4 linked regions of the Schizosaccharomyces pombe genome follow. The gene in region 1 interacts genetically with each later gene. Each region holds a gene or a part of one and is shown on either strand. Other genes may lie near its edges.

Region 1 (8,001 bases):
ATAATATAAGCAGGTATTCCGTATATCACAGGAGCTGCTCCGTTCAAATAGCGTAGATGACAGCATGAACGACTTTCGCTGACCGCTGTGCATATACTCGTTGAATTCACAAAAGGTGCCTTATTTTCAAAGAGTCCCCAGCTTTCAAGCATCTTCAAACTGAACCTATCGATGTCTTTATCGGTGACATCCCATAAGTTTGCAACTAACGTTGGACACCCAGCACTCAAATAATCCAAAGGAGTCCCCCATGGCTCAAATGAGCCACATTCATACAAAGCACCAGAACTACAACCCATCAGTATAGTGACTGCACACCTTTTTAGAGTGGCCAGGTCATAAGATGTTGTATATTGCTCTCCTCCTCCATGTCCGAAATATAGAAAAAAATCATTACCTGAAAGCATTTTAATAAAATCTCTATTAGAAGGTTGACTAGCAATTAATCCCTTCCACCCACCTTCAACTAGTTTATGTTCAAACATTTCTTGAGTATGCTTAAGGTCCAAACTAGGATTTAGTATATATGAACCTGCTTCTTTACGCACTTCAACATACTCTCCATTAACGACAAATGATTGGGACAAGATGTCCCGCAGAATTGATAATGAAGGCACACGTGATACCGATTGTCGGTTTAGGCATGGTAAAGATTCCCACGGAAATTGGTGAACTGATTTATCCAGTACAAGGACCGTATGACTCCTGTTCTCTTCAGAGACATAATTGTTGAAGTAGGCATTTAGAGCATCCTGAAGATCCATAGATAGTTGATCAGTATCAATCTCGTCGTATGCAAAATGAAGACCTCGGAATTGAAAAATGTCCAAAATAAAATAAATCAAATCCTCTAAAAGCTGTTCGTAACCTTCATACCCAGGTTTTCCTAAGGTGATGAATAGTTCTAGGATCTCAGGCGACAGTGTAGGGACAGGTGTTTTCTTGTCCATGTTAAAATTTTTAGCTATAATGTTTTGAAATTGACTGGAAAACTTGGCAAACAAAGAAGTATCAATTTTATGTGGATTGAAAATACCTTTAAATCCACCGAGCCATGATATTTCAATATTTTCTAAAAGTTGTTGCAAGCATTGATCAAGGTGTCTTCTTTCTTTCCACCAAGTTTCTTTGTCTTCTCTTCTAGTATAATGTTTACCGTTCTGAGCCATCTGATTACTTTTAGAGATAATTCGAAATAGCTCGGTTTGAGCTTTTGTAAACACAAGGATTTCTTCGTCTGCGTCACGTGAATTATGTCTTTGCAATGGTAAACGAAAAATCAGCGGAGAATGACCTTTGCGTATTTTTGAGATGAACAAATCCTCTCCAGAATTGTTAATAGTAATAGAAACGACATTCCAGATCGACGGTAATGAATCAATAAAATTGTCTTGAAATGTACGGACATCAGGTATAGATAACCGACTATTTAAAATTTGTTCCAAACTACTAAAATGAAGTTCTTTGTGCTGGTTTCTGAATTTCTGTGCTTCACGACGTCTATGGAATCCTAGAGCTTTAGGGATCTCTAAAAAAAATGAGGCTGAACTAGAATCGACGTCGGTCGTTTCGCCAATTGTGGTTAATGCACTTTGCATAATTGTTGAGTACGATATCAATTCATTGACCTCCCTGCAAACGCATACAGAGCTCCGCTCATATGCATTAGAAAATATAATTTCACAGCTTAATCTAACATTCTGCAAATTGATTTTAAGCCTCTCACGTAAATAATCTAAGCGCTTGGATCCCTTGCGAAATCCTGTATTTTCTCCAAGCGCTTTTGTTTTACTTTGATTTTTCTGAAATTTATGAGAAATTCCAGGTAATGAAATTACAGAATCGGGAAGAGTACGTAGGACGGGATCGCCAAATAGTGTGGAATCAGCTTCACAAACAATAAGCTTTGATTTTAAAATATTAGCTGAGACTATGTTGAAAAAACTTGCAATTGAGCATTTTGTCGAGTCAGTCATTAAAGCCTTTGCAATCTCCAAGTTTCCTCTTTTCAACTCAAACATAGAAATCAGACGAAGTAAATTGGCTGCCGTATTTTGAAGAATTGACCAGTCATCAAATTCAGTAGTATTAGATTCTGTAACAAAAGTTGGTTGACTTGAAAGACTGAGTCTTTTAATTCCTTTTGTAAGAGACTTCTCGCGGTTCCTATTAAAAAAAAGGTAATATTCTGACTTTATTATTTCTAAAAGTTTTACACATTCTGAATAGTGACATATGGCACCATCCAACTCGGATTTTGTTGCGCATACTTCAGCTGCTCCGTAATTCCATAAAAGTTTATGGTATGTATCTGTGCTTTTCATCGCCTCAGTAAGATCAAATAAAATCTTCTCGCCCTTCTCTAACTTTCCTGCCCTTGTTAGTAGTGAGCATAAGCGCAATTGGAAGGTAGCTGAAAAACAAGAAAACGGCATCTTTTCAGAAATACTGCAAGCTTGTCGATAAAAAAATTCGGCTTCTCGCGCCTGTCCCATGTGCTCATAAATCCTTGCAGCGCAAACGTTAGAGTGAGCACTGACAGCGAAAAGTCGCCAAGTAATATATTTTCCGCCGTTGAAATGCTCCTTTGAGCTTTTAGAAAACAATCCCTTAATAACCTTTAAATTTTGCATTATAAAGCCAAGAGAAACAGTGGTGTAGCCTAGTTGAAATAGGGCATCACTTAGCTGTATCCTTTCATAAAGCAAAAGATTGAGGCTAACAGTCCGACTTAAACCATTTGAATTGAAATCCTCTTCAGAAGAAAGAGAATATTTTTTTAACTGTAAAATTCTGAGCTCGTTAGTAACTATCTCACAAAGTCTTCATACCCTTTATCCGTATTTCCGGTTAAAATCAAATATTTACCATAAGAAACATTCCAAAAGTTTATAAAAGGACTGCTTTTACATTGACGAAGATAGCTATAACACTTGGTATAAAACAAGTGAGCTTTCCCTGAGAAGCCAAGCGTCATATATTTATCACTAAGCAAAGTACCAATGATGACCAGATACTTGGAAAATTGAAGATGAAGAAGACAATTGAAAAGTTCGTAAAATATCTCAAGGAAAGCCAACTCGAATGTTAGTTTTCCACTCGGCTCCACCGTATGTAAAAAACAAACTATAAACAATTAGAAACGCCGGTTACGATTGAAAACTTACAAAAAAAATTCAAAATTGAGTTAATTTCAAAATCTGTGAAGGAGCAACGAGAAATGACCGAAGAAAATCGAGATATAAAAATAGTCCACGACTCAATTATTGTAAGTATCCTACTATCGTCTTCCGCACGTCTGTAACATAGCAAATTTTCCCATGAGCATAATAGCGACTCGTTTAAAGCTAATTTCGCATTATTGTTGGAATTATGCTCTAGGAGATTTTGGTCACCTTTAATAACGCAAAGAACCATTTCCTCAAATTTAATGTCATTATACCCATGGTTTGCCAAAACGCAAGAAACACTAAATGTCAGCAAATAAGAAAATTGTAGAAATACTTACTTTGTTTTAAGCAAAAGGACCTCCTCTTTTTCATGTAACATAAGAGATAATTTAAAAGATAAAGCAGCAGATGCATTATATCGAGAACCTTCATTTGCACATTTAAAAAAAAGTTTGAGCAAGGAATAGCTTATTGATTCAAGCAATTTTTCTATATTTGAATCATTTATAGAAGTTAAAGAGTTGAATATACGTTTTAAAATGTTATCCAATACACTAGATTTTCCAACAGATGTAGTTCCAACATAGAGATCCAGTTGATTGAATGTAGTATGGAGTACATCACATTTTTCTTGCAACTGTAAAGAATCGTGGTACCGAAGTTGAAAATTTTTTAAAATTTTCAGGAGATATGTTTCATCATTAGTCAATTTATGTGATACAGCAATTTTGATACTCAAACTTATGCATTCACGTGCATAATTAACATTAGAAGATTTTACACACAAGTTGTAAAGATGATTGGAAAGCTTTTGAGGAAATTCAGCATCTTCATAGTAGGCTGCGAGATTTAAACAGCCTTCCAGAGAACTTTGAAATTTAGTCAACTCACTAAATGACCTAATTATATGAAATGTAAACATCAAAAACTTTCTTATTTTAAGTTGGAGATTTAAAAGCTCATCCTCGACAAGGATATCCCTCACAACCGATGAGAGTATCCACGATAAAATTTCTGATATGTTCAAAGCAAATACAGTATCATCAAAAACCGTCGAGTCATTGAAAAGTCGAAATGATCGCTCTATTGAATCCAATAAATGTAGAGCTTCTGAATATGGTAAAGCATTTTCGACAAAGAGCTGCTGAAGTGACGACAACTCTTGGATTAAATTGAACGGAAAACAAATGCTATTATCGTGAATTGATAATCGAAAAGAAAATAATAAAAATTTTAATTTAAAACTGATGTCTTCAAATGACAAAGAATAGCCTCTAATGACATATGCAGCGCTTAATTGGAAATCATTATATTTATAATAAAGTTGAGAAAGTTGAAGCAAAATATGCAACCTCGATTCTTTTGATAAATTTTCCAGAAGATGATGAAGTTGTGTCATATCTTTATTTAAAATAGATCCTTCAATATCTTCGCTTTTACATAATTGGACAACTTTTGAGAAAAGTTGGAGGATTCTCGTTTCAAGCTGATTTACATCAAACTCTTTATCGTCAGCTCTCTGGGAAGAAAGAATATTCAACCATAAAGCTATAGAGAGGATTAAAAGTTTGAACGATTGTAAGGCGTTATTTTGTATCATGGAAAATCTTGTCAACAAACGAGCTAAAATTTCTCTTCTCGAATTGGCCAATTGAACCTGGGAAGGAAAGCTTCTTTCAATCCATTGAAAAGGGCCATCTTCGCTTTGTAAGTTATTGATTGTATTCAAAGACAAACCGTTAATTTGACTTAAAGATAAACATCGTAATACATTGAGCTGAAATGTGACAACGATAGTGCCTATATTTAAGAAATAAGAGGCAGGAACCATAGGAACAAAAAGGCAGCTTTCTAATTGGATTTCTGAAACATCTAAAGTGGGATTAAGAAGGGTAGCAGTAGGGATGGCATCGTGGTCCCGATATGTCAGTAAAATTATAAGGTTTTTATGAGTTTTCATCAAAAGACTGATAGCTGGTTCAAAAATCTCCATGTCCAGGAGCCGATTACAAATTGAAACCCCGCTACGGATGCAATCATACAAATGACTTGTATTTTTGGTTACCACCTGCATTTGTTCGAGAATATATGTACAGCATTCTAACAGGTAGAAAACCTCGGGACGGTGAGCCGTATTTAATCTAGAAGGTGTACAAAACATCCTTCTAGTTTTCTCCTTATCTGTAGTGGATAGCTCCGCCCATTGCTTAGCTAAGTTACTGACTGCACATTTGAAAGCCACAAACAAATGCTCGAACGTCCACGAAGGTGCATCACGAGATATATTTTGCTTGAGGTCCTTTAATTTTACAGAAGCCTTGAGTCGCTTAACGAGAGTAATAGAGCAATGCTCAGGATAACTGAGAGCTGAAATGAACTTCTCTGGAGTCCAAGAAACTTTACTAGTAACGATTGACCTTGTAGACATAATGGAAACGAATGAATAGTAAAAAATATTAACCAGCAACAGTTACAACAATAAAAGGGATTTAAATTATTTAACGCCGTTCATGAAGAATAGGTTGCAAGAAATAACTAAGCCAATAGCAAATATCGACCAAAATATAAGATTTAATAATTTGACAGTGATTTTCAGTTCGCAAAGTTATATTACTAATTATTGAGAAGAGGAAAATATTAGTGACTTAAAAATCATGTAGATGTTTTATTATATGCTTATGAAAAGTAGATTAATCGATCTTCCCAACCAATAGAATATTATCAGCATTAATTAGAACATTGCAATAGTCGAAATTTGGAGCTGTTGGTTTTTATTTCGTCTAAAACGAAAAAACTGTCAAGTCGTCTCGCTGGATGAAGATAGGCTAGTTGGTAGCAAGGATGCTTTGGATGTTAAGGCAAATGAAAACACAGTACTTACCACCAAATCCCTAAAACTGGTCCAAAAGAAAGAAAACTGTAAAGAAGAAAATTAAATATAATTAAAAATGAATGTAAATAATTGATAGTTTACAGTTATTATCTACAGTCCATTACTTCATCGCAACCTACTATTTGTAAATTTCAATAATGTAAATAAATATATCAATAAATAAATAAACCGATTAAGACTCAAAACCATACAAATCTGTAACAGGAAAAAAAACATATAATTTCTGATAAACTCATTTTATCAATGCTACATCAATTTTTGTTATAAACTAATGATTTTGAAGGAAATATGAAATTTCCCAATTTTTTGAATTTTTTAAAAAAAACTTCTACATTTTCCCTATTTAAATTTCAACCCAACATTTAGTTTTATTTTAATAAGGGGCCCTACTATAATTTAATTAAAAAATTATAAACATCCCGAAATTGGGATGAAACTTCTAAAAAAAAAGTAAGTGAAAGTTTTTAAAACCGAATTGAAAATCAAAAAAGAATTTTAAAAAGTATCTAATTGAAAAAGTTTTACTATGCAAAACTTTTATTTATTTATTTTTTTTTTCTAGCGTTCATTGCCTCGCAATCCTGTGTTGACATTAAAACAATTTCATAGACAGTTCATTTTTGAGTAGGACAAAAGAAATAGTAATTTAGATAGGATTTCGACATCAAAACGCTCACAGACACTGTGGAACCTTTCCAAATTTCAGTTATTCATAAATCCTGCAAATTCCCAATTTAGCGTGGTACACAATGGTATGTTAATAGACACGAACTCGACATATGCTACTTCCTAGCAAGTTGCTTTGAGCTCTGCGCAGGTAATTATATGAATCACGGTCATTTGTAGATTTATATTTGGATTCTAATTAATTTCTTCAAGCTAGAGTATTGGAGAATTTAACCATGTCTGCCACTAATGGGCCGCAACCGCAGGATCTGAACAGAATTGTTCTGGATTACCTTGCGAAGAAGGGATACTCAAGGACCGAGGCGATGCTTCGTTTGGAAGCATCGGGTTCTGGCGTGTCAGTAGAGGAGAAGTTAAAAAGCATTGAGGAAACTCCAGATGCATACACACACACGTATACGATCTTACGAGACTGGGTGGATAGTTCGTTAGAATTGTACAAAGCTGAACTTCACAGGATATTATTTCCTATATTTGTTCACTCATATCTTAATCTCTTGTCTCAAGATCATTATGAAGCTGGTAAGTTGGTCATATTGGAGGAGGTTACGAATTTGTTACATGTTTGTTTCGATGATCTACGAACAAGAGGGGTATTTGAACTATTCTAAATACTTATTAGTTTCTTTATCTATTGAGTTTACAACTTGTCTTTATTTCTGAAACTCATTCCACTTGACCACCCATATTTAATTCTTTATAAGGATAAATGATAATTTTACTAACGTGCTATAGCAAAGCAATTTTACGAACTCTTCAAAGACGATCATACTGATCTTCATGACTTTGATGTAAAAAACTTAAAATCGCTGAGTCTTCCAAGCCATGTCGCAGAAGACCGCACTGCTCAACAATACCGGCAAAATAAATATCAACTCCATTTTTCTAGGATAACATTTGATTTATTGCTTCATTTCTTATTTGAAAACGTTTCAAACGGTGGGTCAATTATCATTAAATTAATCAATCAGCATATAGATATCCATATCGTTCCCGGACGTCCCACCGTCTTGGAAAATGCTAAAGTTATCAATGAACAAGAAGGTATTACCGGCCAATCCTTTGAACGAGGAGATGCTCAACTTCAACCTGTAAAGCTGCAACAAATGCCAATGGACAAAGAAATGGAAAAAATTGTAGAGATGGACTTAGAAGAAGAGGATATGATGCACCAAAACGATCCAAATAACCAATCTCCAAAACTATTAAAAGAATTTAGAAAGCTGCATGAACCTAATGCTGAAGATGCTC
Region 2 (4,989 bases), on another chromosome or scaffold:
AGGTATTCGTTGGCTCCACCCCTGAAGGCTTTACTGCCTGCTTTTCAGCAGTTGCAGTATTATTTTCTGAAGCTTTAGTGCTATTGCTTTTATTGGATTGACTGCTGGCCAAGGCACGAGCATAACTAAACTTTGGAGTATTTGACGGTGGTTTTGAAGACATTATACTCTTCGTTTATCTACAATTATTCAAAGTAATAAAACTGAAGAGACCACCGAATATTAAAACCTTAAATTAGTTCGTTTGTTTTATATACAACAACCGAGTTCTTTTCTTCCTATTTCTACTGAAAGAAAGAACACCAATTATAGATTATTATTGGAACGGAACAAGACAAACAAATGTAACGTTCTGTATTCCGTTAAATATTAAAATACCCTCCAGATGAGTTGATAATAAATTTTCAACTGAAGTGGTTGGGTTAGTGGTGGTGGTCAAGAGAAGCAATAGAACGAAGCAGCAAACTCTTCAAATTGTGCCGCTTACGTTCTATCAGTAAATTTAACGAAATTAAATCTTCTGCGATAAACACGTTTTATGACTGTTAATAGATATTCGCAAATTAAAGAAAAGCTGTTCTCCAAGGTAGAACAAAAAATATATTTTTTCGGAAAGTACTGTCGACTTGCGTTAATGTCACGCTTCATAATTCATGTTACTATTTATTGGTAGAAATTATCTTGATTGCCTTCTAACGAAATTATACTCTTCTTCTGGTTGGTTTCGAGTTTATGAGTGATTCTTGTTTTTGTGTTTCCTGGAAATTCTGGCATTGTTTATTGTAGTTTCTCATTGAAGAGTATTTCATTCGATTTAAATAGCAATATATGAAACAAAAAGTATATAGGTTATTAATAGATACTCAAGAAGCATGGCCTTTTGAAAGAACTGTATGTTTTTAGTTTTATCTAAACAATTTTTCTAATACGTTAGAGGATACCCAGTTTTAAAAAACTGAGCGATTCTGAGCGACAACAAATTGAGAGGTACTATTTCGACATGGATGCTAAAATGGCATTGGCTTCTATACTTATTAAAAGGCACTTAGTCTCCACGGCTCTCGAATGTTCACCAAATGAAGTACAAATTTCTGTCACAAAAGCCGGGAGACCGTATTGCCAATCAGCACACTGTCCTCCTATTATATTTGACTTTAATGTATCCCACTATGGGGGAATCGTAATTGTAGTAGGAGCATGGCTTCCATCAGATCCTTCAGGAATGCGACCGATCAATATTGGAGTTGACATCGTCGAATGTAAACCGTTAGCTTTTGAAGCATCATGGATGGAAGATTTCATGAGTGTATTTACTCCTTGCGAATGGAAGTTGATTAAAAGTTCAATTTCTAGTATTGATGTTTTTTTTTTGCTCTGGACTTGCAAAGAAGCGATTTTGAAAGCACTCGGTATCGGATTAAGTGGAAACCCTTTGGATATTGTGGTAACATTTCATAAATTAAATGAGCTGTTAAATTCCGAGGAAGTGTCTTTAAGAAGAGCAGCAACTGCAGTGTATTCAGGATATTCTTGGGACTTGGAAATTCATAAACTAATACTTCACTCTAGTACTTTTTACGTCAGTGTCGCCTTTCCACAAGACTGCGTAATAATGGATCTAAATTGGGAGACATTGAACGACTTGTAATTTTTTTTTATTAACATGTATCATCGCATTGTTTTAGACCGTGATGCCTCCTTTGCCTGTCTCCCTTAATGCTTGGATCGAGTTGCATTAGTAGTGTTTTTTTATTCTCTGATAATTTACCCAAACTCTTTTTGGATTTATCAGAGTTTACACAACTCTATACACCATCCAGATGATTTACCTATTTTTGTTTATATGTTTTTTTTACTAAAATGCTACATTGCTTTATAAGATTTAACATATCTTAACGATGGAGCTCAAACAATAACAACCACCTGTTTGTACCCACATGTTTTTGTTGACATTAACTCCCATCGTTTCCAAAACTTTAATAGATTTGTCATGACAGATCGATTGAAATGTTTAATATGGTATTGCATTGATAATCAGAATTATGATAATTCAATTTTTTATTCAGAACGTTTACATGCAATTGAAGATTCAAACGAGAGTTTGTATCTTTTGGCATATTCGCATTTCCTAAACCTCGATTACAATATTGTATACGACTTATTAGATAGAGTAATTAGTCATGTTCCTTGCACATACTTATTTGCAAGGACCAGCCTTATTTTAGGCAGATATAAACAAGGAATAAGTGCTGTGGAGGCCTGTCGATCGAATTGGCGCTCCATTCAGCCAAACAGTATGTGGTGATTTATTTCGCGAAACCTCTAACTAAGTTATCTAGTAAATGACTCAATTAGCAGTCGTGGACATCCAGATGCCTCTTGCATGCTTGATGTTTTGGGTACTATGTATAAAAAGGCAGGGTTCCTCAAAAAAGCTACAGATTGTTTTGTAGAAGCTGTCTCCATTAACCCATATAATTTCTCTGCTTTCCAGAATTTAACTGCAATAGGTATGTGACAGATGTTTTGTTGTGAATTAGTAAATTCACTTTTGTCAAAAAAAAATACTTATTTTCGTTTATTTCTATAATTGTGCTAATATATTTTGCTGAATAGGCGTGCCACTCGATGCTAATAATGTATTTGTTATTCCACCCTACCTTACGGCAATGAAGGGTTTTGAAAAATCTCAAACGAATGCTACAGCTTCGGTACCAGAACCGTCTTTTTTGAAGAAAAGTAAAGAGTCTTCCTCATCTTCCAACAAGTTTTCGGTTTCTGAATCGATAGCAAATAGTTATTCAAACTCATCCATTTCAGCATTTACTAAGTGGTTTGATAGGGTTGACGCTTCTGAGCTTCCAGGAAGTGAGAAGGAACGACATCAAAGCTTGAAATTACAATCTCAATCTCAGACTAGCAAAAACCTTTTGGCTTTCAATGATGCTCAAAAAGCTGATTCTAACAATAGGGATACGTCTTTAAAATCCCACTTTGTGGAACCTAGAACCCAAGCATTAAGACCAGGAGCTCGTTTAACATATAAATTACGCGAAGCGAGAAGTTCTAAAAGAGGAGAGAGCACACCTCAAAGCTTCCGCGAAGAGGACAATAATTTGATGGAATTACTAAAGTTATTCGGTAAGGGTGTTTACCTGCTCGCCCAGTATAAGTTACGAGAGGCTTTAAATTGTTTCCAAAGCTTGCCCATCGAACAGCAAAATACACCTTTTGTTCTTGCAAAGCTTGGAATAACCTACTTTGAACTGGTTGATTACGAAAAATCTGAAGAAGTGTTTCAAAAATTAAGGGACTTGTCGCCTTCACGTGTCAAAGATATGGAAGTCTTTTCAACTGCACTTTGGCATTTGCAAAAGTCTGTTCCTTTATCTTACCTTGCCCATGAAACTTTGGAAACTAATCCTTATTCCCCAGAATCATGGTGCATTCTTGCTAATTGCTTCTCACTTCAACGTGAACACTCGCAGGCATTAAAATGTATTAATAGAGCTATTCAATTGGATCCAACTTTTGAATATGCTTATACGCTTCAAGGGCACGAGCATTCTGCAAACGAAGAATACGAAAAATCGAAAACATCTTTCCGCAAAGCAATTAGAGTAAATGTTCGACATTACAATGCATGGTATGGCCTGGGAATGGTTTATTTAAAAACAGGGCGAAATGATCAAGCAGACTTTCATTTTCAACGTGCTGCAGAGATCAATCCTAACAACTCTGTACTCATCACTTGTATTGGTATGATTTACGAACGCTGCAAAGATTACAAAAAAGCACTTGATTTTTATGATCGGGCATGTAAACTGGATGAAAAGTCTTCGCTTGCCAGGTTCAAGAAAGCCAAAGTGCTTATTTTATTACATGATCACGATAAAGCACTCGTTGAATTGGAACAATTAAAGGCAATTGCGCCAGATGAAGCAAATGTTCATTTTTTGCTCGGCAAAATTTTCAAGCAAATGCGGAAAAAAAATTTAGCCTTAAAGCACTTCACTATAGCATGGAACTTAGACGGCAAGGCTACGCATATTATTAAGGAATCGATTGAAAATCTGGATATTCCCGAAGAAAATTTGTTAACTGAAACAGGTGAAATTTATAGGAATCTGGAAACTTAAGAAATTATGTCTTGTATTTTAGGGATGCCAAAAAATTGTCGAATGAATAAGTTAATGAGTTAGAATGTTTACGTCTTCATTCTGGTTAGGTTTAAAAATGATGATTTTCGTTTAGAAGTTATATATTAAAATAAAGGTATAATAGATATCATTAATAACCAATGATAAAAAAAATTGTGTATAAAATCACCGTGGGTATAACTTAAGTTTAAAGTGTGCAATTAATGAAATGTCCTCAGGCCATTCATTTTTATTACGAATCACCAACGTTACTATCACCGCACCAACCATACTTTAAAACGAAAGGAAGGGTTGTTGAAAGTTTGCTCTTCTCTACTGTGTACATATTCGAAATGGGTTTTATTAAGAGCACGCTGCTTGCTACTGTGACAGTATTTGTTGGTTTGTGCGGAATCAACCGATTTTTTACTCTCCCGAAATGTATTAGATATCACTTTCGCTATTTCGCATGTCACACATTTTTAGCTATTAGTTCTGCTTATGGGGTTATAGCCTCAGTTGTTGCACGTTTATGTGGTTATCCCGTAATGGGACAATATTTAACTGCAAAGGCATATTATGGACTGGCTAGTACAATCCTTGACTTTCGGTTTAAAATCGAAAACGAGGAAATTTTGAGAAAACATAAGTCTGCTGTCTTAGTAGTTAATCATCAATCGTAAGCATACCTCAAAATATACTTCTTTATGATAAAAAATAACTGACTTACAATTTTAATTAGTGAATTGGATATTTTGGCTATAGGAAGGACTTTTGGCCCTAATTATTCTGTTATTGCTAAAAAGTCTCTAAGATATGTGCCCATTTTGGGATGGTTTATGATATTGTC
Region 3 (3,539 bases), on another chromosome or scaffold:
ATCCCCGTATTTTTCTACCTCCCTCATCACCTCTCATGACTTTATACCCACGAATCGATGATATGTGCGAAGAGTATCTTAACATAATCAGAGAATTCAAGTTGGAATCAGATTATAGTAGTTTGTCTGCTATAAAGGGCCATCTTTTTAAATTAATGAGACCTCTGTTGAGTATTCACACTGATATTCGAAGTAAATTAGCACAAGGTTGTACCCCTCGTGATTTTGAGACGTTTCCTCCTGTGGTTGCTATGCTTCGGAAAAGATTACTAGAATGCGAAGAGAAGGGAGAAATTAATGAAGATAAAGATGTTAAGGAATCTGTTAAAGATTCTATGGGTTACCCTGTTATTCCTTGGTGGCGTGTCCAGCCTTACATTCGGCCTCTGGAGGTTCCTCTAGTAACCAAGCGAAAGCCAGTTGAAGTAACCGCTGATGAGGGACCTGTAAAGAAAAAGGTCAATGCTTCTGTGGCATAGTCCATAATTCTTTTTTTTTGTTTTGTTCTGGCATTACTATACTAATATAGGCAAATTATTTTGGTGGTACATAATCATTGAGTTCATTTAAAATAATATTTTTACTGAGATTAAAAGTTATATTATATTTGTAAGGATATAAAATATGCGAAACGATTTGTAAAGGCATTAAAGTATTAGTATATGTATAAAAATTCGACATCCCAATGTATGATTACAATGCAAGAAAAACAAATTCGAAAAGAAAGGGCATAACTGAAATAAATAACCAAGTAATGATACAATGTTAGATGCCTATACCTAGAAATAATAGGAGAGAGAAGACAGCAATTTAATCATGCAAAAGCAACCGAAGCCGAAATTAGAAACCTAGAAGTAATTTGGAACGATATTAAGATAAATGCAGTGTAGCGGCATGAACAGGACAACCAGCAGCCCCAGTACTCAGCCAATCACGATAACATTTTAAATGAAAAATGCATAGACAATATTCTATCCTTGCAACTCTATCACCAGCAGCAAATTCTTCAAAGCATATAATACATTCTTGCCCCAGGCAAGGAGAAGTCTCTGATAGCTGCATACTTATGTATCTTCTAGCGTGTTTCAAAAATTCAGTCATGTTTCTTGGAGATGAACTATTATTACTTAGACAATTCGCAACATGAGATTCCCGTTCAGAAAGGGTTTTAAAACTTGAGAGAGGAGCATAGCAAACTGGACATTCAACAAAATCATCAGGCTCTTCAATCCTCTGCAAATTGTTTCCACAGGAAGACTGTATAACTTGATTGTTAGATCGAGTAGTGGTATCATCGTTCAAACAAGTAGTGATAGGATAGGGTAAATCCAGTTCTTTTAGTTCCGACAATTGCTGACGACAATTGACACAAACTCGTACATTGATCCATGAAGAGTCTTGTGAATCATTATCATCATCATTATCATTAGCAAGAAAATCAGGATCTCTAATAAACATGTCTTGTGGGATAAGATCCTCAGTTGGATCTACTGAAACACTGCTCACAGGAAGCTTTGCAAAACTATTGCAGCAATTGTAACAAAAAAGTTTACCACACCATCTACAATGATGTCTTCTCCGAAACCAGGTAAAAGGACCACCACAATTATTGCACTGCGCACTTTCATCGTCCAGTTGCCAAATTGCCGCCGGCGTTTCAATGAGTAAGCGTCTCAAAGCCTCTGGATAAGTCGTCTCATCCTCGTCCATACTCAATTTGATAAAAATTCATTAAACTATGTTCGAGAGCAAAAAGTTGAGTACCCGCTAGAATGGTGTTGAAAGTTGCCTCAGGAGATAAGGTCAAAACAAAAGGGTAACTTATACTGATCAAAGGAATATGATTACCGGTGGAAGTGGAAAACTCACTGCATATCGCAAAATAAATTTTTTAAACTTCGTTAACGTAAGAGAATAAGATAATAAGTCATTTAGAATATCAATTGTAGTAAATATCAAAAAGCTATCCAAGAAGAATAACTTTATCAGAAATTACGCATTTAAACATCTTTTCTTTATGTATGTTTCATAGAGCTCAGAAGCAAATTTAGCGCCGTTTCATTTAGACCTTAATATAACGATGTCAGCGTGTTTGATGAAAGTTGACTTTCTTCGTTATTATCAAGCTTGGTTTGAGGCAGTATGACATTAGATCTCTGAAATTTAAAAATTGTCGAGAATAGCTTTATGAGTTGAGGTTTCAATCATCTTTAGTTTCTTTAAATTTATTGAGGTTAGTAATATGACAATATAATTTGTTTTTATGTTTACCTCCATTGCACATTTGAGCTTATTTTGGGAATTACGACGATGCTGAACTAAATTCTTCTCAAAATTCTGGGAAAGTGCCTGAAATTCTTCCAATGCATATTCTTGGGAAGAAATAGAAGAGATCTTACTATTGACGGACTCCAATTCTGCGTTTATACTATTATATTCCACCAACAGGTTTGACAGGTTTTTCGAAGCATCCAGCTGTAATTTATCTAAAGCACGAAGCTTCTCCTCTGTCGTTCTTAGGCTTTCTAAAATCACGTCTCTGAATTGTTGGGTCAATTAGCTGAAGAAACTTATGGACGTACTTGACACGTGCATTCAAAAAATATGAATGCAATGCACTATCATGATGCTCACTGAATGCTAATACTGCTTCAGATACCATGTTAGCATGGCGATTGCTCAGCTCTGTTTGCAAAGACGTTATAATTTCAGACATGTTGTGGTTCTTGATAACATGTTAATAGTGTCTACGCGTCTTTTGTTTACATCAAGCTAGCGATATATAGCGTACTGTTTTAGCTCACAAGACTTTCTTTGTGTTCAGTTTCTCTTAAAACATTTAGTCTTAGGTTTTTAGCAATAGAATTAATTTTTTAGCACAAAGGCTAGAATGAAAGATTGCTTTTGGCCATTGAAAACGTTTTATTTACCTAGATGTTTACATTTAATCTAACATACAACGGTGGAATACGGTTGAATCAAAACAAAATAGTGACAAGGGGAGGTTGCTGTTTTTTCAACAAGATTGAGATATTGCTTTCTTATTTATTCTCCATTACTTGTTTTGTAAGGACTCAATGTTTACGGTGATCTTTGAGTGAGCAGTTAGGTAGCGTTATCTATCGTAAAGTCGTTACTTGACTGAATCAGCACAGTACTTTAGTATTTGCAGACAGCATACCTGATAATACGAATTTGCTTCGTTTATTTTATATTATCTTATTTTTCTTTAAATTATAAAAGCATTTCCAAGTAGAAAATTGGCTCATATCTCTACATCATCAACATGGAGGACCCCTTTTATGAAGTCAAAGCGTAAGTTGTGCAATGATGAACCAGAAATGTCTTAATAGATTCCTTTTGTTGCTTTAAGATTTTATTTAACTGACATTTATTCGAAATATAGGGATGCATCAAATCAAATGGAGCAAGTGCGAAAGCTTTACAATTCTTTTATGGCCGCACGAAACTCTGGAGTCCTTTCACCAAATACTGAGCTTACTTACGCCATTGATGAGTTAAGCGAAACATTGAAGGAC
Region 4 (5,067 bases), on another chromosome or scaffold:
TGGGGTACGAGCGGCTTCCTCTTGTAGTTGAACCCATTGCTTTAGAGATCCCAAATAATTGCCAATGTGAGGAATTCCAGTAGGCTGAATACCTGAAACAACTCTGCTATGTGGAAGGAGAGAAGTGATTTTTGGAAGTTTAGCCATTCTTTATTACTTTTTATTTAATTGGTTTATAAAGTGAACAAATAAATAAAGATAAAGAATAAATGTAATGAAAATAAAAAAAAACAGCTGTGTTATAATCCAACTGATTACAGCTCGCAGACAATTTTTTCAAAAAGGAACAAGGCCGTAGAAACGAATGCTACACTTATGACTAGGTCAGAATGAAAACAAGCAAAATATAGGAGGAATGTTCAATGACACGCAGATAAGACAACAGGATAGAAACTTTTCTTCTCTACCAAAGATAGTTGATAAATGGTATCAAAACGGGATTATTTTTTTGGTAAAATCAAGTAGCTAAAGTTCATAACCATACAATTAAAGCGTTGCAATACCTCAGAAACTGAGAAGATGCCTATAACAAAAAATGGGATAAGAAACCCAAACTATGGGAGGAAAAAAAAGATTAAAGGCGGAAAGTGATATTGTTAGAAAGTATGGAGAAAATCCTACAATGGTGGGTATTTGAATTCTTCATAAAAGAAGGATAGTTTACATGGAGCGAGTCATTGAATGAACTTTAAGCCGTTAAAAATCTACCGAAAATAGCTCGTTTAAGCGTGAGGTTATTTTTTTTTTATTTTTTAACGAATTTGTTACAAGTGTCCAGAAGTTCGTAAAACTTGAAGAGAGCAAGTAAATTTGTATAAACAAACATGTTTTTTAAAGTATAAAAACTTTGTAAATGATATTTAAGTTGGTGTAGAAATTTAATGTAAAAAAATTTTGGATGCTTTTTGTGTACGATAGATCGACTAAAAAAACATACAAGAATGCGCAGGTCATGCCATTCTTTTTTTTTCCATTAATTTATTCCATATTGACTCGCCATCCCCACTTTGCGGTAAATAAGCGCTGCAAAGTTTCTCGTTGATTTTTACTTTCCTCCCTCTACCACTCCTAAGAAGAAAAAGGAAATTTTTTGACTAAATAGTCATGATTTCAGCAATATTCTACTTGTGTTAGTGATGTTTTAGCAGTAGACAATGATTTTCAAAAAGCTCGAAAATACGGGTTTTCCGCAATACCCGCTACTATTTTGGTAGAAAAACAAGTCATTGTTAGTTCGTCGTTTTAAAAACGCTATCGTGAAAATGAAGATTCTTTTGAAAAGATAAAAGTCTTTTAAATCCGCAGAAAAAAGAAAAAAGAAATTAAACAGAAGAAGCTTGTATGGACTTTACTTCGGCTATTTGCATTCATTCTTCACCTCCTTATGATTGGTGTGTGTAAGCATGCAAGCGACTGCTTTGGTTTAGGTGCAATGAAATTCACTATTTCATTTAACGTTTCAATGGTTCAAGACTTCGCAACGACGAATAGGATCATGGATTGATATCGTAAATAACAATTAACAAGCCCGAAGGAGGTGGAAAGAAAAGCAATTTGATGTAAAATTAAGCTAGCGAAGAATTAAGAATGTAATCAAGCGCCCCACTGCAGTGCCGTGATTATCCTTGTCTTTTAAACACCGAAGTTTAAAATCCTTGCGCTTAACAAGCGATAGTGATCGACGGTGGAAACATTTTTTTTACGACCTCGAGGAGTTGGCGCTTTCTTTGCCCATAAGCATCTTCTTGTCTTCACCACACTTGAGCATTTCCGACTAGCCAAGGCTGGTCAATTTGCCCCTCAAATATTTTCTGAGGATTTAATAGTTACGACGTATAGAGGGTGCTTTTTAATTTTTGGTATCTTAAAAAAGGTTTGTATAGTACCGGTTGGATGTTGGCAAGTAGATAATTTTTTGTGGTAAATTTTTGCACTTCCGATAAACGTTCTGTCAGGCACAGGATTATGAATCCATCTGATTTACCAGGTCAAATACCTCTGTCTAGATCAGATATGAATGTCCAAGATCAATTGGACCCGGTTCAACGCTTTGATACTCATTTTATGCTTCCCCAGGAGGAGAATTTTTTGAATCGCCCCTCCATAACCTCCGAATCTGCACATCCACGAGGAAGTGATTTAGAGCAAGAGACAGAACTAAAAAGACTTGCGTTGGAACATGAACATTACTCTTTAGAGTCGCTAGCGGAAAAGCTGCGAATGGACCACGTAAGTGCCAATTCGGAAAAATTTCGCCAGGTTTTTGGCATATGTTGGTTAAAGCGTGCTTGTGAAGAACAACAAGATGCTGCTGTCCAACGAAATCAAATATACGCTCATTACGTCGAAATCTGTAACTCTTTGCATATCAAACCTCTAAATTCCGCTTCGTTTGGAAAACTGGTTCGTTTGCTCTTTCCTTCCATCAAAACCCGACGTTTAGGCATGCGTGGCCACTCAAAATACCATTATTGTGGTATTAAACTGCGTGGTCAAGACTCTTTTCGCAGACTACGTACCTTTTCAGATTCAAGTCTTTCCCCCGTTTCCTGTTCTTCGTTTCCCAAACCTATTCCCAATCATTTTGAAAACGATGTTTCTTCTATTCAAAACACAAATCAGCGTGTAGAAAGCAGCCCTGCATCGGTTAATGCTGCGGCTATAGTTAGAAAATCCGCTGTCACCCCTTCATCAGATCCTTACAATTCGCCTCCTCCTTCTATACCTTTGCTAGGAAGTCAAACCAATTTGCAATTGGCTCCTTCTTTTGCTGCTCCACAAGCCCATCCCCTACCTTCACATCTTTCACAATCCAATGTTCCGCCACAACTTTCTCATTCTTCGGTACCTTCACCTGCACCACCCCGTTCTGTGTCCCAACCGACCTATTTTTCTCAACCCATGCCTCAGTTTTCTTCTTCGTTTGTACCCGGTACTTCTTCGATAGTACCTACCTTGCATCCTGCTTCTGCACAAGAAGATTTTAATCTTCAACATTCCCTATTCTTCAAACTTAAACTTAAATTCTTGCCTCCTCATAAGCTTCCTTGGATCCCATCATTAGACGTGTCTTCATTTTCCTTACCTCCTATTGACTATTATTTAAATGGTCCATACGATAATGTCGAGGCGAAATCTGCATTAATGAACATTTATTCTTCGCATTGCATTACTCTAATTGAATCAGTCCGGTATATGCATCTCAAGCAATTTCTGTCCGAGATCTCTAACTTTCCCAATTCCCTCTCTCCTTCTCTTTTAGCTTTGCTGTCCTCTCCTTATTTCACGAAATGGATTGAGCGTTCTGATACCGTTATGTACAGGGAAATACTGAAGTTGCTATTCCCTATGACTCTTCAAGTGGTACCTCCGCCAGTCTTGGTGCTACTGCGTCATTTAGCTGAGAATCTCGTTAATCACATATCCAGCATATACGCTTCTCATTCATCTTGTCTTCTCCAAGTCAAATCTGAGACTGCCGCAATCTTTAGTAACTTATTGTCTCGTCTTTTGCGTGTCAACGATACGGCTCATGCTGCTGCTAGGTTCCTTGCCAACCCTGCCGACAGGCATTTAATTTGTAACGACTGGGAACGATTTGTCAGTACAAGATTTATTGTACATAGAGAATTAATGTGCAATGACAAAGAAGCAGTAGCCGCGTTGGATGAGTGGTATTCTATCCTTTCAACCTGTTCAAATCCTTCTGAGCTTTTAGACCCTTTGAAGGACAAACATGAAGCCAGTGATACATCAATGAACAGGGTCGAACTTCGACAAATTGATGGTGTTTTAGATCGTATGGCAGATTTTTTTCTGGAGTTGCCTTCCAGATTTCCCTCCTGCTCTCCTAGAATGTTTCTTCTATGCCTAGGCGCTTTACAAACTAGTGTGCTTCGTGAAATCACGGTCAGTGGAGGTGAAGCATTTGGGGCTCTTTGGGTAATTAGATGTTGGGTCGATGAATACATGACTTGGGTGGCAGAGATTGGCGGATACCTCGATGATAGTTATGATGAGCTGGAACAGCATCATGCTAACTTTCATAATAAAGCTGGAATATCTCAGAGTAATATCCCTCCTCATTTACAGGAGCACCGTCAATCCCAGCAACACTTCCAACAAGACATCGAAGCTTTGCAATCACAACAACAACAACAAGCCACTAAAAATTCCTTGATGGAAGCTGCCTACCAGAATGCTCAGAAGCAAAAGGAAGACGACTATATATCCATTGTATTTGATACAAATGGTGCTTGTAGTTGATGTACAATATAGTTGACCCTTTTTAGGGCTTCGAAAAAGCAAGCGTAATTACACTGACAAAAGTTAATATCATTCATATTATTGTTTTTGTTTTTTAATATATGTTTCTTTTGTTCAGGAGGTCTATTTGTTTAAGTCTGTGAACTTTTGAAATGCAATTAGATTACTATAATCCTGGCGCTTGTTTCTTATGGGTGAACGTCCATACATATACCAAATTGAAAGTGACTATACTTTATATTTGTTTTTTATTTCTTTTAAAATTTCACTGTCAGTAAATAGAGTTTCAACATTTTTGTCTTTAATTTTGATATCGACTATCACATATGTATTGATTAATATAAATGTTCTCCGATAACTATTTTATAAAACCTATTTAAACTATTGAGTGTAATTATTGCATTTCTCTGGCAGTAACAAGAATATTAAGCCCATACAAATGAGGAAATTGGCATCGATATCATTCAACAAGAATAGCGAACCCCCAAAAAAACAGCATCATACTAAAAGCGAACTTTCTACGAGAAACTTCGTGTTTAAAAAACAAGACTTCAAATAAAATGTTTAAATATTCCCCTTAAAGACCATATATTAAATTAAAAAAACGACAAAATAACTTAAACAACGGAAAATGGAAACATCAACCACTATTTCAAGTAAGAAGGTTTTCGGCGCTGCTGAAGTTTTTTATATTGCCCCTTCCGTCCACTCATTTTCGATTTTTGTAATTCTAGATATTTTTTCTTGAAGTACGATCGTCTTTCTGAATCGTGCAATAATTCGTCAACAATTGTCTCTTTG

What was found.
Region 2: mutations in cut1 (region 1) and nuc2 are lethal when combined (synthetic lethality), as found in Schizosaccharomyces pombe (2 studies listed by BioGRID).
Region 3: mutations in cut1 (region 1) and pib1 together harm fitness more than expected from each alone (negative genetic interaction), as found in Schizosaccharomyces pombe (one large-scale study listed by BioGRID).
Region 4: of cut1 (region 1) and sak1, extra expression of one is lethal in a mutant of the other (dosage lethality), as found in Schizosaccharomyces pombe (one study listed by BioGRID).

What each region holds. Positions count from the first base shown.
Region 1 is NC_003421.2:641,409-649,409, reverse strand, and holds the start of cut1 (separase/separin), read right to left. Parts: upstream 6,002-8,001; 5' UTR 5,599-6,001; coding exon 3,509-5,598; exon of another isoform or gene 3,470-3,508; coding exon 3,168-3,469; intron 3,127-3,167; coding exon 2,832-3,126; intron 2,794-2,831; coding exon 1-2,793. Other genes in the region: taf5 (transcription initiation factor TFIID subunit 5), read left to right, coding at 6,966-7,272, 7,486-8,001. UniProt on the Schizosaccharomyces pombe protein: Caspase-like protease, which plays a central role in the chromosome segregation by cleaving the rad21 subunit of the cohesin complex at the onset of anaphase. During most of the cell cycle, it is inactivated by securin/cut2 protein.
Region 2 is NC_003424.3:4,496,142-4,501,130, forward strand, and holds nuc2 (anaphase-promoting complex TPR lobe subcomplex subunit Apc3), read left to right. Parts: upstream 1-1,954; 5' UTR 1,955-1,990; coding exon 1,991-2,294; intron 2,295-2,339; coding exon 2,340-2,510; intron 2,511-2,616; coding exon 2,617-4,139; 3' UTR 4,140-4,440; downstream 4,441-4,989. Other genes in the region: tif471 (translation initiation factor eIF4G), read right to left, coding at 1-163; alpha-aminoadipate reductase phosphopantetheinyl transferase Lys7, read left to right, coding at 829-891, 935-1,648; 1-acylglycerol-3-phosphate O-acyltransferase Slc1, read left to right, coding at 4,493-4,818, 4,882-4,989. UniProt on the Schizosaccharomyces pombe protein: Component of the anaphase-promoting complex/cyclosome (APC/C), a cell cycle-regulated E3 ubiquitin-protein ligase complex that controls progression through mitosis and the G1 phase of the cell cycle.
Region 3 is NC_003423.3:2,390,388-2,393,926, forward strand, and holds pib1 (ubiquitin-protein ligase E/phosphatidylinositol(3)-phosphate binding protein), read right to left. Parts: upstream 1,711-3,539; coding exon 871-1,710; 3' UTR 550-870; downstream 1-549. Other genes in the region: tRNA dihydrouridine synthase Dus1, read left to right, coding at 1-479; protein mug20, read right to left, coding at 2,164-2,217, 2,272-2,539, 2,583-2,716; tlg1 (SNARE protein Tgl1), read left to right, coding at 3,287-3,315, 3,407-3,539.
Region 4 is NC_003424.3:3,146,406-3,151,472, reverse strand, and holds sak1 (DNA-binding transcription factor Sak1), read left to right. Parts: upstream 1-1,753; 5' UTR 1,754-1,965; coding exon 1,966-4,266; 3' UTR 4,267-4,525; downstream 4,526-5,067. Other genes in the region: tryptophan--tRNA (Trp) ligase Msw1, read right to left, coding at 1-147; rRNA processing protein Fcf2, read right to left, coding at 4,914-5,067. UniProt on the Schizosaccharomyces pombe protein: Positively regulates cyclic AMP-dependent protein kinase-mediated exit from the mitotic cell cycle.